Linked DNA regions of Drosophila melanogaster. The protein of the gene in region 2 purifies or fractionates together with the protein of the main gene of each other region. This does not show direct contact. Each region holds a gene or a part of one and is shown on either strand. Other genes may lie near its edges.

Region 1 (6,568 bases), on a different chromosome or scaffold from region 2:
GCGGCGCCACTTCGCGTTCGCGGATTTACACGCAATTTCAATTACTCATAAGCCGGGCTCAGGCGGGCTGACTGATGGGTGTCAGCATGGTCTTGGCCATCAGCCCCAACATTGGTATCAGCATTGGCAGCGACACGAGTTCGGTTGGGCCGATGCTGCTCGTTCCGTCGGAGCCACGTCAAGTGGCAATTAATAACTGTCAGTCGATTGGCGGCTGTGGCTACAGCTCCACCACCTTCTCCACCGCACACAATCCACATCCGACAACAAAGAACTAATCCCTTTTGTCACTGGGCGTCACAGACCGCGGGCCAAAGCATTACGTCAAAATCAAAGAAGGCAACAAAAGCTTGGCAAAAAAATAAATGCGAATGGAAAGGCTTTCTATGTAAAAAACCGAATTTAGGATACGCTTAGGGCGAAGGTATTTTGCTGGATAATGGACTTTGTTAGGGGATTACCAAAGAAAAATTGGAGCAAATAAAGAGTCAGAACGCAGATTATTTGATGTCCTAAAACGTACAGGGATTGACAACTAAATTGCCAACAAAAATTTAATCACAAATAATACCAAAACCTTTCAATGCCCTATTTGCCCTCTCAAGAAAAGTTTGTGAGCAAAATAACTTATTACAAATAAGCAAATAAATCACATTCCACTAACAGCTCTTGAACCCGTGCAGACTTTCGCCCAAAATACGCTTGTGGCACGTTCGCGTCTTTAAAAATGCTCGGCAGGTATTCGCTCCAGTTCCGGGAATAATAGAAAATGCCACACAAAGCACATAATTGAGTTGTCACAATTATGGTAATTTAATAATTAACTGCTAGCATTTAGCTTAGGGCTATTATGTGGTCCGGTTGCGGATACCGATCTGATTAGGTGACCATCAGGCGCGGCGCAATGTTCATTGACATCAGCTCCTGGAAGAGAAGCTTGGCCGCATATGGGAGTCGCACCTGGGAAATCTGCGTCTTGTTCTTGCAGCCCTTGCACTCGAACGTATTGTTGCGCAGATTGGCGATGGCAATCAGGCCACAGAAGTTGCAGATGTGTACGCGGTACGGATCGGAGACCTCGAATAAACGTTCTCGCAGGAACTGAGCGGCGCCGTGGGAGATCTGGCAATCACGCTCCATCTCACCGAAACGCAAGCCACCATCACGAGCACGACCTTCCATAGGCTGACGCACCAGGATCTGGACGGGGCCTCGAGCACGAGAGTGAATCTTGTCGTCCACCATGTGCTTAAGACGCTGATAGTAGGTGGGCCCCAGGAAGACCTGTAGTTAAGGGACTGATTAGTTTAAGATTATTGCAAGTTGAAAGTTAAGCAATTTACCTGAGCATTAATCTTTCGTCCAGTGTGGCCATTGTACATGACCTCATTGCCTCGAAGATGATAGCCGTACTCCTGAAGGAAGGTGGAGATCTTTTGCACGTTGACGGCATCGTTGAAGGGTGTAGCATCACCGATCTCTCCCTTGTTGGATCCCAGTTTTCCCTGCAGACACTCGATCAAGTGACCAATTGTCATACGAGATGGGATAGCGTGGGGGTTAATAATGATATCGGGTGCCAATCCCTCGCATGTGAAGGCCATGTCCTCCTGACGGTACTGGATGCCGCACGTTCCCTTTTGTCCGTGACGAGAAGCGAACTTATCGCCGATCTGCGGAATACGCACCGAGCGCACTCGAATCTTGCAGAACTTGTAGCCCTCGCTGTTGAGCGTAAGCATCACCTGGTCCACAATACCCGTCTCAGAGTTTCGCAGGAAAGTGGAGGCATCTCGTTTGGAGAAACGCTTCGTGTTGCTGTCCAGTTCGTCGTCGTTTTCAGGAAGGGTAATGGTCTTGCCAATAACCACATCGTCGCCAGATACACGAATTCCTGGGGCAATAATTCCATCATCGTCTAACTTGTCGTAGTGAGCATTTCTCATTCCTTGGCAGGTGCCGCGATGAGGCTTCTCGAAGTTCTCTTCCTGATCACCGACACGTTTGTTCTCCGAATCCTTGTATGATCGGTAGAACACAGAGCGGAAGAATCCACGCTCCACAGCGGATGCATTCAGAATGACAGAATCCTCCTGGTTGTAGCCAGTGTAGCAGAGAATAGCCACGATTGAATTGATGCCAGCTGGTAGTTCTCGGAAACGCAGGTACTCCATGGAACGTGTGGTCACAAGTGGCTTCATCGGATAGTAAAGTACGTGGGCTAGTGTGTCCATACGCACGTGGAAGTTGGTAATATAAACGCCCATAGCTTGCTTACCTATAAAAGATGAAAAAAACGTTATAAATGGATTAGTATTTCAAGTAGAACAGTAATGAATACTCATAAACTTACCCATAGCGCTTTGATAGGTGTTACGCGGACTCTGATTGTGATCGGGGAAGGGAATAATGGACGCGCACACGCCCAGGATCATGGCTGGATGGATCTCACAATGTGTGTATGTGGTACAATAAGCATAATCCTTGTCCTGCTTCAGATCGTAGGGAGACATAGCGATCATGACCGTTTCCTCCTCAAGGGTATCAATGTACTCCACCACTCCAGAGGCTACAAGGACCTGCCAACTGTAGTTGTTGTAGTCTCGCTCCTTTAACATCTCCACGTGAGTCTTTTTAAGCAGCAGCGATCCGTTTTCCACGATGAGAAGTGGCCGACAAATGCGACCAGCATCTGTATAGATTCGGATCTCACGATCTCGAATGTCTCGAATCATAGACACCTCTGACACGATGATATCCATCTGGCGACGCAACTTACGAAGCGTTGCCATGAGCTGCTCAGGATCACGATGTATGCCCACCCAGCAGCCGTTCACAAAGATCTTTGTAGCATCAGCGATGGCAGAAGGAGCAATTTCCTCCAGGTTTTCCATAGACCACTCCTCCAAGAACTCCAGAATGGGAGAAGGTTGTGATCCCACAGAAATGTAAGCCATGAGCGCCAGGTTCTTCACCAGACCAACAGCTGCTCCCTCAGGAGTTTCAGCGGGACACAACATACCCCAAAGAGTATTGTGCAACTGACGAGGTTTGGCCAGTTTACCGTCTCTGCCAATTGGCGAATTCACACGCCGCAAATGGGAAAGAGTAGAGGCGAAGGTCAAGCGATTCAACACCTGGGAGACACCGGCTCTCGCCTGATGCGCCTTCTTCTGGTCGCCCCAATTGCCAGTGGCCAAGGAATACCTTAAACCATCAGTAATAATATTAGTCTTGATGGCCAGTTCAAGGTTGAAGTCCTTTCCGCGATCGATGAACTTCTGTGTGTACATGCGCACCTCTTTCATCAGGTTTTTGAACAGACCACGGAAGAGGAAGGCCAGGAGGGGTCCAGCGAGATCAAGTCGCTTGTTTCCATAGTGATCTCGATCATCGAGTTCTCTCCTGCCCAAAGAGGCTAAGAGCAGCCGGTGAACCATGTAGCCCAAAAAGTATGCCTTCTTGGTCTCGCAGAAATCGGATACTCCAACGTGGGGCAGCATTTCCTTTTGCAAAATTTCCTTAGCGTACTTTATACGCTTGTCTTTTGTGACTCCGGGACGTGCTCCTCTAGCTCCAATGAAATTCAAGGCAACATTCTGCTCTTGGACTACAAAAGCCTCGTCCAGAGAAGGTTTCACCATTTCCATCATCTCGGGATCGTCGAAGTCATAGATGATATGCTCCAGAATATCGCGATCGGCCACGAAGCCCAATGCTCGAAACACAATCATAATGGGTATCTCCTGTTTGATGTACGGTAAGATGGCAATAATCCTCTGACCAATGGCTGACTTTTTTATGTTTTGCGATCCTCTTGCCATCATGTTTACCCACAGTGTAGACGTGGGTCTGGAACTGTGCTCCAAACACGACCGAATCTCAGTCTTAAAGGCATACTTGCCATCTTTCATGCTGAACACGTACACTGTGTTGGTGGCCATTTTCTCTTGGGCAATTAGCACCTTCTCGGAGCCGTTGATGATGAAGTAGCCACCGGGATCCAACGGGCACTCGTTCAGCTCCGTAAGATCACGATCAGTAAGCTGTGATAGCAAACAGTACGTTGATCTCAACATGATGGGAATCTTGCCTATGAAAGTCTTTTGATGCTGCGTTTCCACGGGATCCAGGCCCTCGACATTCTTGGTTTTCGTAATGTCCACGTAGAGAGGAGCGGAGTAAGTTAGATTTCGCAGGCGGGCCTCGTTCGGCATCATAGGACTGGGCGAACCATCCTTTTCCCAATGTGTTGGCTTGGAAAGATAGATTTGCTCGAATTTCAGCGAGAATCTGGGCGGGGTTTCCACCTCTCCGGATGTGTGCTGCGCTTCCGCCTGCAACTCAATGGCGGGGGAATCCTCCACAATGCGCTGCACCGACATCTGAATGAACTCATCGAAACTGTCCAGCTGCTGCCGCACCAAGCCCTTCTCGTCGAAGTACGCGTTAATCACGATCCAGCAGGCTTCCTGCCACAGCTCGTGAGAGATCTCCTCGGCATTCTCCTCCTCGTACAGTTCTGCAAGATGTTATTTGACCATTGAAATTCATTGCTAACAATGCGGAGCCCTAGCGCTCCAGCCGCCATATTAATTTTGGTACACGCCAACGTGCATGCACAAATTTTCGCAATTCATTTTACTCACCTTCCTCGTTGTCGTACATCATGATTTCAGTTTTCTAAAGTGCAGAAGCACTTTATGCGTTCAAGTAAATAACAATAAATTGGATTTGCAATGAATTAAATTGTAAAAACGTAGAAAATTTCACAACAAATGTTTGCCGACAACGCGATTAGCGGCGTTGTGCTGTGTTGGTAAACGGCAAAAGCAAAGCACAAGGTGCAGTTCATAAAGTTATAGCAAATACTTGTAAACACAATAAAATTGTTTTTGGCAACAAAATAAATTTAAAAGTGTGAATGATATAAGAAAAAAATATATGAACAACTAAATGAGTATGTAACTTAAATTATTATAATAATATAATTTTATTAATAACAAACGCATTTAAATTAAAAACAATTAAACCGAGAGTTTGCCAACACCAATGACACGCACACTTTCCAACACTAACAGACCGGCAAACAGCTGAGATTGTTGTACTCGTTTTACTTGGTTATTTAACACGCTTAAAAAATGAATTTTCTGTGGAAAGGACGCCGGTTTCTGATCGCAGGCATCCTGCCAACATTCGAAGGCGCCGCAGATGAAATAGTCGATAAGGAAAACAAAACATACAAGGCCTTTCTGGCCAGTAAACCACCAGAGGAAACAGGACTGGAGCGCCTCAAGCAAATGTTTACAATCGAGTAGGAAAACTAAGAATTCCATTTATACTAAAATCTACTGACCGTACATAAACATTTAAATAGCGAGTTTGGCAGCATATCCTCCGAGCTTAACTCGGTTTACCAGGCCGGCTTCCTAGGATTCCTTATTGGAGCTATTTACGGCGGAGTTACACAATCGCGCGTGGCCTACATGAATTTCATGGAGAACAACCAGGCCACAGCATTTAAATCGCACTTTGATGCCAAGGTAGGTATCTACGTATTATCATTTAAATATGTTATAATCAAGTTTTTAATCATAATTACAGAAAAAGCTGCAAGATCAATTCACAGTCAACTTTGCCAAAGGCGGCTTCAAATGGGGCTGGCGAGTGGGACTTTTTACCACATCCTACTTGTAAGTTCAGCAACACGAATTCAAATCTGTATCTGTGTGATACAAAAATGTGTTCCTTACAGCGGCATCATCACTTGTATGTCGGTGTACCGTGGAAAATCCTCAATCTACGAATACTTGGCCGCTGGTTCCATCACCGGCTCGCTTTACAAAGTGAGTCTTGGTCTGCGGGGCATGGCGGCAGGTGGAATCATTGGAGGTTTCTTGGGCGGCGTGGCTGGTGTGACGTCGCTGCTGCTGATGAAAGCATCAGGGACCTCGATGGAAGAGGTTCGCTACTGGCAGTACAAATGGCGACTCGATCGCGACGAAAACATTCAACAGGCGTTCAAAAAACTGACAGAGGACGAAAACCCAGAGCTTTTCAAGGCCCACGACGAGAAAACATCCGAACATGTATCGCTGGACACGATCAAGTGAGTCCTGAGGACTTAAAGAAGACGCCAGTGTGAACTTAGTTACTTTTTTTAATTTAAATAAATTGCATATATGTCCATCTAAAGTTACATAGACAAGAATACATTTAAGGAAGCCCACTTTGGCGGCTGCTATGCGATGTTTCAGTTGATGCCTAGTGCCTCTAAAGATATCGACTGACGTACGGACACATATAGACACGGGATAGACACAACACAAAAGAAATAAACGATTGGATACAATAAATTAAATGCTCTGCTAGGAAACAGTACGTAGAAGGGCGATAAACAGAATTGACTCGGTGGGATCGGGATTCAGACTTAGTCCTCTGCGGTGGGACGCGTGAGGCGCTTGGCGCCTCGGTTTGGTGGCCCCTTGGGCTTGGCAAAAGCCGGTCGGTGTAGAATCTTCTTTGGGTGCAGCTCGTCCTGCAAGAAGGCTTCGGTCAGCTCGCTGCC
Region 2 (2,819 bases):
CTGGGGAGCAATTCCCATTGTGCCCATCAAGAGTCCACCTATCATCCCAGTTCGCAGTCCAAACCTGAATCCCAAACCCATAATCCCATTCAATGCCGTTAATGTGGGCCATAAAGCAAATGCTTTAACGTCTATAATTTGTCTGCACTTGGAAACGACCCACGCATACTAAACATAGTATACTATACTATATATACCATCTCATCCAATTCAATTCAATCCAATTCAATCCCATCCGATCCCACCCACTCCGAGATCATCGCGCCGAATGATTCATTAAAGTGTAAAGTGCTAACTAATAGTCGAAAAATTCATTAAATTAACGCTCGCGCTATGCTCGTTTTTTATACAAGCAAACTCGTATATTGTTGAATGTTTATGAAACAAAGATTTGCTTTCTTTCGGACTTTCGGTGCTAGTTTATCTGCTTTCGCAGGCGAACAAAGGAGCATCCATCGATGATGGACTCATTGATACCCTCTGGTATTTAAAACGAATGAATAAGATTTTTATGACATGTAATATATTTCCATAATATGTATGTTGTATGTTGTATGTTGTATGTATTCTTGTTAAAGTATTATTTACATATTGTGGAAGCCAACGGAAGATCAGTCTGTTTATTGATATGAGATATTGTGAATTGTGTGAGTTCGTTTGCTTGGTATCCAGCCAAGACGGGTGACTCCTTCAAGGGACTCTCTCCACGGTTGTCTAGCTCTTCCAGCGGTTGCCGCACTCGTCGCATATCACAAAGGTGATAATGGGCTCGTCACCATCACGGATATGCAATTGGCTGCAGTTGCGTTTGTCGCAGCGTTCGCATTTGAACTGATCCGTCTTGGTGCCCTGAACCTTGGCCATCTGTGCCGCATTGATCGAGTCCTGAACGTACTTCTGGCGCATCTGCTTCATATCATCGCTGGCCATCTCCTCGGGCGTCATCTTGGATAACTCTTCGGGCGTTATTTGACCTAATAGGAACTTCTGGCGCAGCTCTGGATTCTTCGGATCGCGCAAGTTGGCCAAACGCGAACGTATGCGATTTTTGTACTTCACCTTGCAGCCGTTCAAGTCGCCGTAAATTGCGTCCTCCAGTTTAGCGGCCATGTCATCCGGATCGCCACATCCTGGTGGCATGTTGCCCGATTTCAATGCGGTTGCCAACATCTCGCGGCACTTGATGCGTATTTCCATGGACATGGCTGCAAAATCGAAAGAAAGTTTAGTGAATTTATTCAACGAAACCGGAAAGCACAATTTTTAGATTGTGAGAAGTTGAGAGGTCACTGAGAGATGTCTAAGCTGACAGGAACGGCAAGGTAAATGAAGGTTTTTACTCGGCAACTTTACAACCCAACTTGATTAAGGTCTAAATATTTCGGATTTATTATGCAATATTTCTACTTAATCATTTCTTAACCGTTGTGATTAGCATGTAATTAGTATGAATTTGAATAGATAAATCTACATATGTATAAATGTTCGATTTGGGAATCCCCTGCGTAATGCATCACTATTCCATAACGCCCGCTGTGGCCCCCAAGAAATGTGCTAAAATTGGACACTGAAAGGAAAACCAAACACAAATGAAAATCAAAATCGAAATGGAAATGATATTTCCCATTTAGTCTATATGTTTGTGTTTGTCGTTCCGCTTTCTTTGTGCGCCGCTGGCTTTTGATTTCGCTAATCGTCTACAACAAACAGCGCGGAGATGATCTAATTATTGACGCACGAATCCCGCAGAAGCACCAAAAACAAAAGGAAAATGAGTAATAAAAAAAAAAAGGAAAATGGGAAATGGAAAATTGAAATATTGAAAAGCCAAACAACAGTGACGAAGGGGGGGGGGGGGGGGTAGCCACAAAAAGTAGGAAAAAAGCCCAAGCGAGCGAAATTGAAAACAAAATCGAAATCATTATCCAAGTCATTAGCTTTTTAGCGAATCGTTCTTTTTATTGTTGCCGGATATAAATCTGCTAATGTACTTAACCACACAAACATCTAAAACACCCACCACCCAGCCACACCCCCGCTTGCCAACGTCCCACTTGGCTTCGCTTTCGTCCCACTGTGCGTGCGCGTTTTTCTAGCGTTTTTAAACGCCTCCGCCGACCTTCAACTGTTAAACTTGACGACCTCAGCGTAACGTAAACAGCCGCCATCGATTCGAAGCTACCCAAATATAAAGATACAAATGTATCTATCTATCAATGGTCTGGGGAATTGGTTCACGGCCGATTACTGACCTTGGCGGCCTTTTGTCTTTCACCTTTCGGCCAACAACGTATTTGGCTTGGTAAACAAGCCCCAGAACAATGGGTAAAACCTTGAACCTTTGTGGCCAATCAATTTCTCCAGATTGGCGAAAATAAAAAGAAAGTGTGTGGCCAACATGAGGGGCAACCAAAGAAAATTTAAGAAAATATCTCAAATATGTTCCTGTTTCAAACTACTGTTCAAAATACATTAGCTTTTGGATAACATTCTTGCAAAATCTTAAATCAAATTGAAGAAAAATCTTAAAAAACACAAATATAAGTAAATAAAGTTTGGACAATGTGGTTTATGTATAATATATTACAAAACATTTGAATGATTACATGAAGATCGATGAGGATTTACTAATAACTCCTGCAGAATCATCAATTATGTGTGAATAAAACTTAAAATGTCCCACTTAAATAGTTAAATTCCAGTACGCAGCAATTTTCCACTAATTTACCTCGATCAATTTGCATTTTCCAAGTTTTCTAAAGTCCAATTGTTGGTTGGTTGGCTGGCTGCCTGGCTGGATGGTTGAATCGATGGCTGGA
Region 3 (3,127 bases), on a different chromosome or scaffold from region 2:
CGCAAGCGCAAGGAGGCAATTAAGCGCTTCCTCTGCTCCCTGTGCGGAATGGAGACGAGATCAGCCGCCGCTCTTGTGACCCATATGCGACGCCACACTGGCGAGAAGCCCTTCAAGTGCGATCTGTGCGAAATGGCCTTTCCCCGCCACTCAGAGCTGGCCTCGCACCGCCGGATGCACACCGGCGAGAAGCCATTCCACTGCACCGTCTGTGGCAAGGACTTTGCCCGCTCCGATAAGCTCAAGCGCCATATGCTTACGCACAGCGGCCTAAAGCCGCACAAATGCACCTACTGCGAGAAGAGTTACCGTCAGGCCAAGGACCTGAAGCTTCATCTCCAGCAGCACACCGGCGAATGTCCTTTCGTGTGCGGCACCTGTGGCGAGCGCTTCATCCAGAGCAGCACGCTGGAGAAGCATCGGTTGATGCGGCGTCACTTCGACGAGGTGGAAGCGTGGCTGAGACGCCAAAAGTAAGGGGCTCTTGCAATAAATACAATTTGGTCTAGTATAAAAGGAATGACATTATTATTTATTGGTCGTGGCGTGGCATCACTTCAGAAACAAGACAAATTACTACTTTAAATATTTGAGCATTAAATGTTTATGACTTTAGTTGAAAGTAAACTTTGGGTGTAGCATGGAATGCCTATTTGTGGCCCTATTCGCTTTACAGCTCTTCAGATCCAGAGCGCGGTTCGATTTTTACCAACTCCGTATCGAAGACGAGCACCGCATTGGGGGGAATCTTTCCGCCACCCGCTCCACTGGCTCCGTATCCCAGCTCAGGCGGAATCGTCAGCTTTCGCTGCTCACCCTCACACATACCAAGGATTCCCTGATCCCAGCCCTTGATCACCTGCCGAGCTCCCAGGGTAAAGGAGAAGGGAGTGCCGCGGGAGTAGCTGCTATCGAACTCTGTTCCATCCTGCAGTGCTCCCTAGAATGATTCCAAATTCGGGGTTAGGTCGGCTAGAGATCTTCCTTATCTGATTTCCCTTACTCTGTAGTGCACGTGGACGAGATCGCCGCCCTTGGCCTTCCGGGTGCAGTTCTCCACCCGCTTCTTAATGCCAATCTTCACTTTCGGATCGCTGGCAGCGGAGGCGGCCACAAAAGCGCAGATTAACAAAATATAAGTTAACTTCATCTTATCGAAAGCCAGTATCAAAAAACACTCGCGGTTTAGTGTGACCAGAGATCTACAATAATTTAACTTGTTCCCACTGCACACATAAAACCAAATAAATATAACAACTCAAATAGTTTTCAACGAAATTAAGAGATTAAAACTTGTTTTTTTTTTTTAACTTTGAAAAAATTAGTAACCAAAAGAAATTTTATGTAAATAAGAGAAAGATCAGAAGTGCAGTAGTATCGGTTCATAGTTAAAACCCAATCAAAAAAGGTCTCACTTAAATGCGAAGCCCGCGAAATTTAAAACTTCAAAAACCACTGCTGGACATATTTTTTCTTGTAATTTACAATAATATGAGTATAGTACAGCTCGGACTTAAAAATAACTTACGTACATTAAAGCTCATTTAAAATAGATACACACATTGTTTGATTACATATTTGACTTTCTTAAAACAAGGAGAGCTCCAAATAATGATCATTTGCTCCGGATTATATGGCCCCGAAGCGCGTGACAGTGCAAAAACAAAAATTGACATTATAAATATGCAACAGATTATCAGGAGATATACGAATGTACGATTATATCACAATAATAAAGGAATACATACAATTTAAATGATATTTAAAGCCCGACATACAACGAAGCCTACGCTTAATTAGGTGCCAACATTCAAGCATAATACTAATTTACACTAATATTTCGTATAAAACATAGCTACTATTATTACAAAGGGTCCCATTGATCAGTGCTGTAAGGGTGAAAGGTGAACTCAATCGCAAATTCGGTTTCCACTCGATGGGCTCTGCCGCTAACACTGCCATCTGGCTTTCAGTTGTCATTGGACAGATTTGTGATCTTGGCCGCATACATGCTGGCCACCTTGTAGATAAATTCATACTGCTCCTTGGTCTGTACGGCGCTGGCACGTCCGCGTCGCACGTAGTAAACCAGTTGGGGGATGTCCACGGACCGCTTCGGTGTTTCCAGACTGCGGATGGCCATGTCCGACGCTATAATGGTACCGGTTCGTCCCGTGCCTGGAGAACAGTGAACGGTTAGCGGTCTGCAGGGGGAGAGATGAAGAAGTTAAGACACAGAACATTAAAAAGCCATGCAACACACAACAACTGCTTTGATATGAATGGATGGAGATTATGTCAACCTACCCCTGCTGACTTCGTGTTCCGCTTCGACTTGAGATGTTTCCATTAATCTCGTGGCTGGACGTGCTGCCCGCCTCGGCTTTGCTGCCGTCCGCATCCATTGACGTCTCCAGGGTCGCGGACTTCTCGCGCAGCTCGTTGGCCTGCTCAAGGGAGTAGGACTTCAGCGAGGATCGCGCTTCCAGCAGCATGGCGATGATGGGCGCCTCCTCGGCCGGTACACCCGCCTCAGGCCATTTGTACCAGTAGTGGGTGAGCTCACGGCTCTCCTCGCCATCCACTCGCTTCAGAACCAATGTGGAAATGGCATAGCGATCCTTGACTTCGCGATGCTTGAGGGTCACCTGGTAATCGCCATAGCTGCTATGATTGTCCAGAGTCGCCGACGGTGGCAGGTACTCGGCGCACCTCTCAATTCCGTTCTCACTGAGATCCGTCGCCTGGATGATCACCCGCGACTGCTGTTCCCAGATCATGCGCCAGAAATCGCTGGTCGTGCTCTCCAGCGGCGCCTGGCAGGCTATGTAGTAGTTGGGTGCATCCCTCGGGCCCTGAAGTGATTAAAAAAGGTATCAAAATGATGTCTTTCCATTGGATAGCATACTAGTATTATTTGAATTTGAAGCTATCTAGCGTTTTTCGGCAAAAAGACGACGCGAGGTTGAGTAATGACATAACCATCAATTAAAACCGATTGCGGCTTAACTCTACCCCTGCCCACACAATGACTGGCGATCAGCTACGCGCGCCTCTCAGATAAACGATACCATAAAATCGCACAACAGACCTCTGCTGCTTGAATCTCGACATGCTTAGGTTATCG

Evidence for each region.
Region 1: the proteins of CG8117 (region 2) and Polr2B purify together in Drosophila melanogaster (affinity purification with mass spectrometry, with the first as the bait; one large-scale study listed by BioGRID). This does not show direct contact.
Region 3: the proteins of CG8117 (region 2) and CG14715 purify together in Drosophila melanogaster (affinity purification with mass spectrometry, with the first as the bait; one large-scale study listed by BioGRID). This does not show direct contact.

The regions. Positions count from the first base shown.
Region 1 is NT_033777.3:14,124,050-14,130,617, reverse strand, and holds Polr2B (RNA polymerase II subunit B), read right to left. Parts: upstream 4,828-6,568; 5' UTR 4,672-4,827; coding exon 4,650-4,671; intron 4,523-4,649; coding exon 2,354-4,522; intron 2,279-2,353; coding exon 1,344-2,278; intron 1,285-1,343; coding exon 880-1,284; 3' UTR 507-879; downstream 1-506. Other genes in the region: 140up (upstream of RpII140), read left to right, coding at 5,142-5,314, 5,378-5,543, 5,605-5,693, 5,756-6,113; twf (twinfilin), read right to left, coding at 6,431-6,568. UniProt on the Drosophila melanogaster protein: DNA-dependent RNA polymerase catalyzes the transcription of DNA into RNA using the four ribonucleoside triphosphates as substrates. Second largest component of RNA polymerase II which synthesizes mRNA precursors and many functional non-coding RNAs.
Region 2 is NC_004354.4:15,642,675-15,645,493, reverse strand, and holds CG8117 (uncharacterized protein), read right to left. Parts: upstream 1,273-2,819; 5' UTR 1,204-1,272; coding exon 715-1,203; 3' UTR 503-714; downstream 1-502.
Region 3 is NT_033777.3:11,672,305-11,675,431, reverse strand, and holds CG14715 (uncharacterized protein), read right to left. Parts: upstream 1,212-3,127; 5' UTR 1,151-1,211; coding exon 1,004-1,150; intron 941-1,003; coding exon 671-940; 3' UTR 509-670; downstream 1-508. Other genes in the region: CG18476 (uncharacterized protein), read left to right, coding at 1-477; CG42327 (uncharacterized protein), read right to left, coding at 1,970-2,204, 2,308-2,855.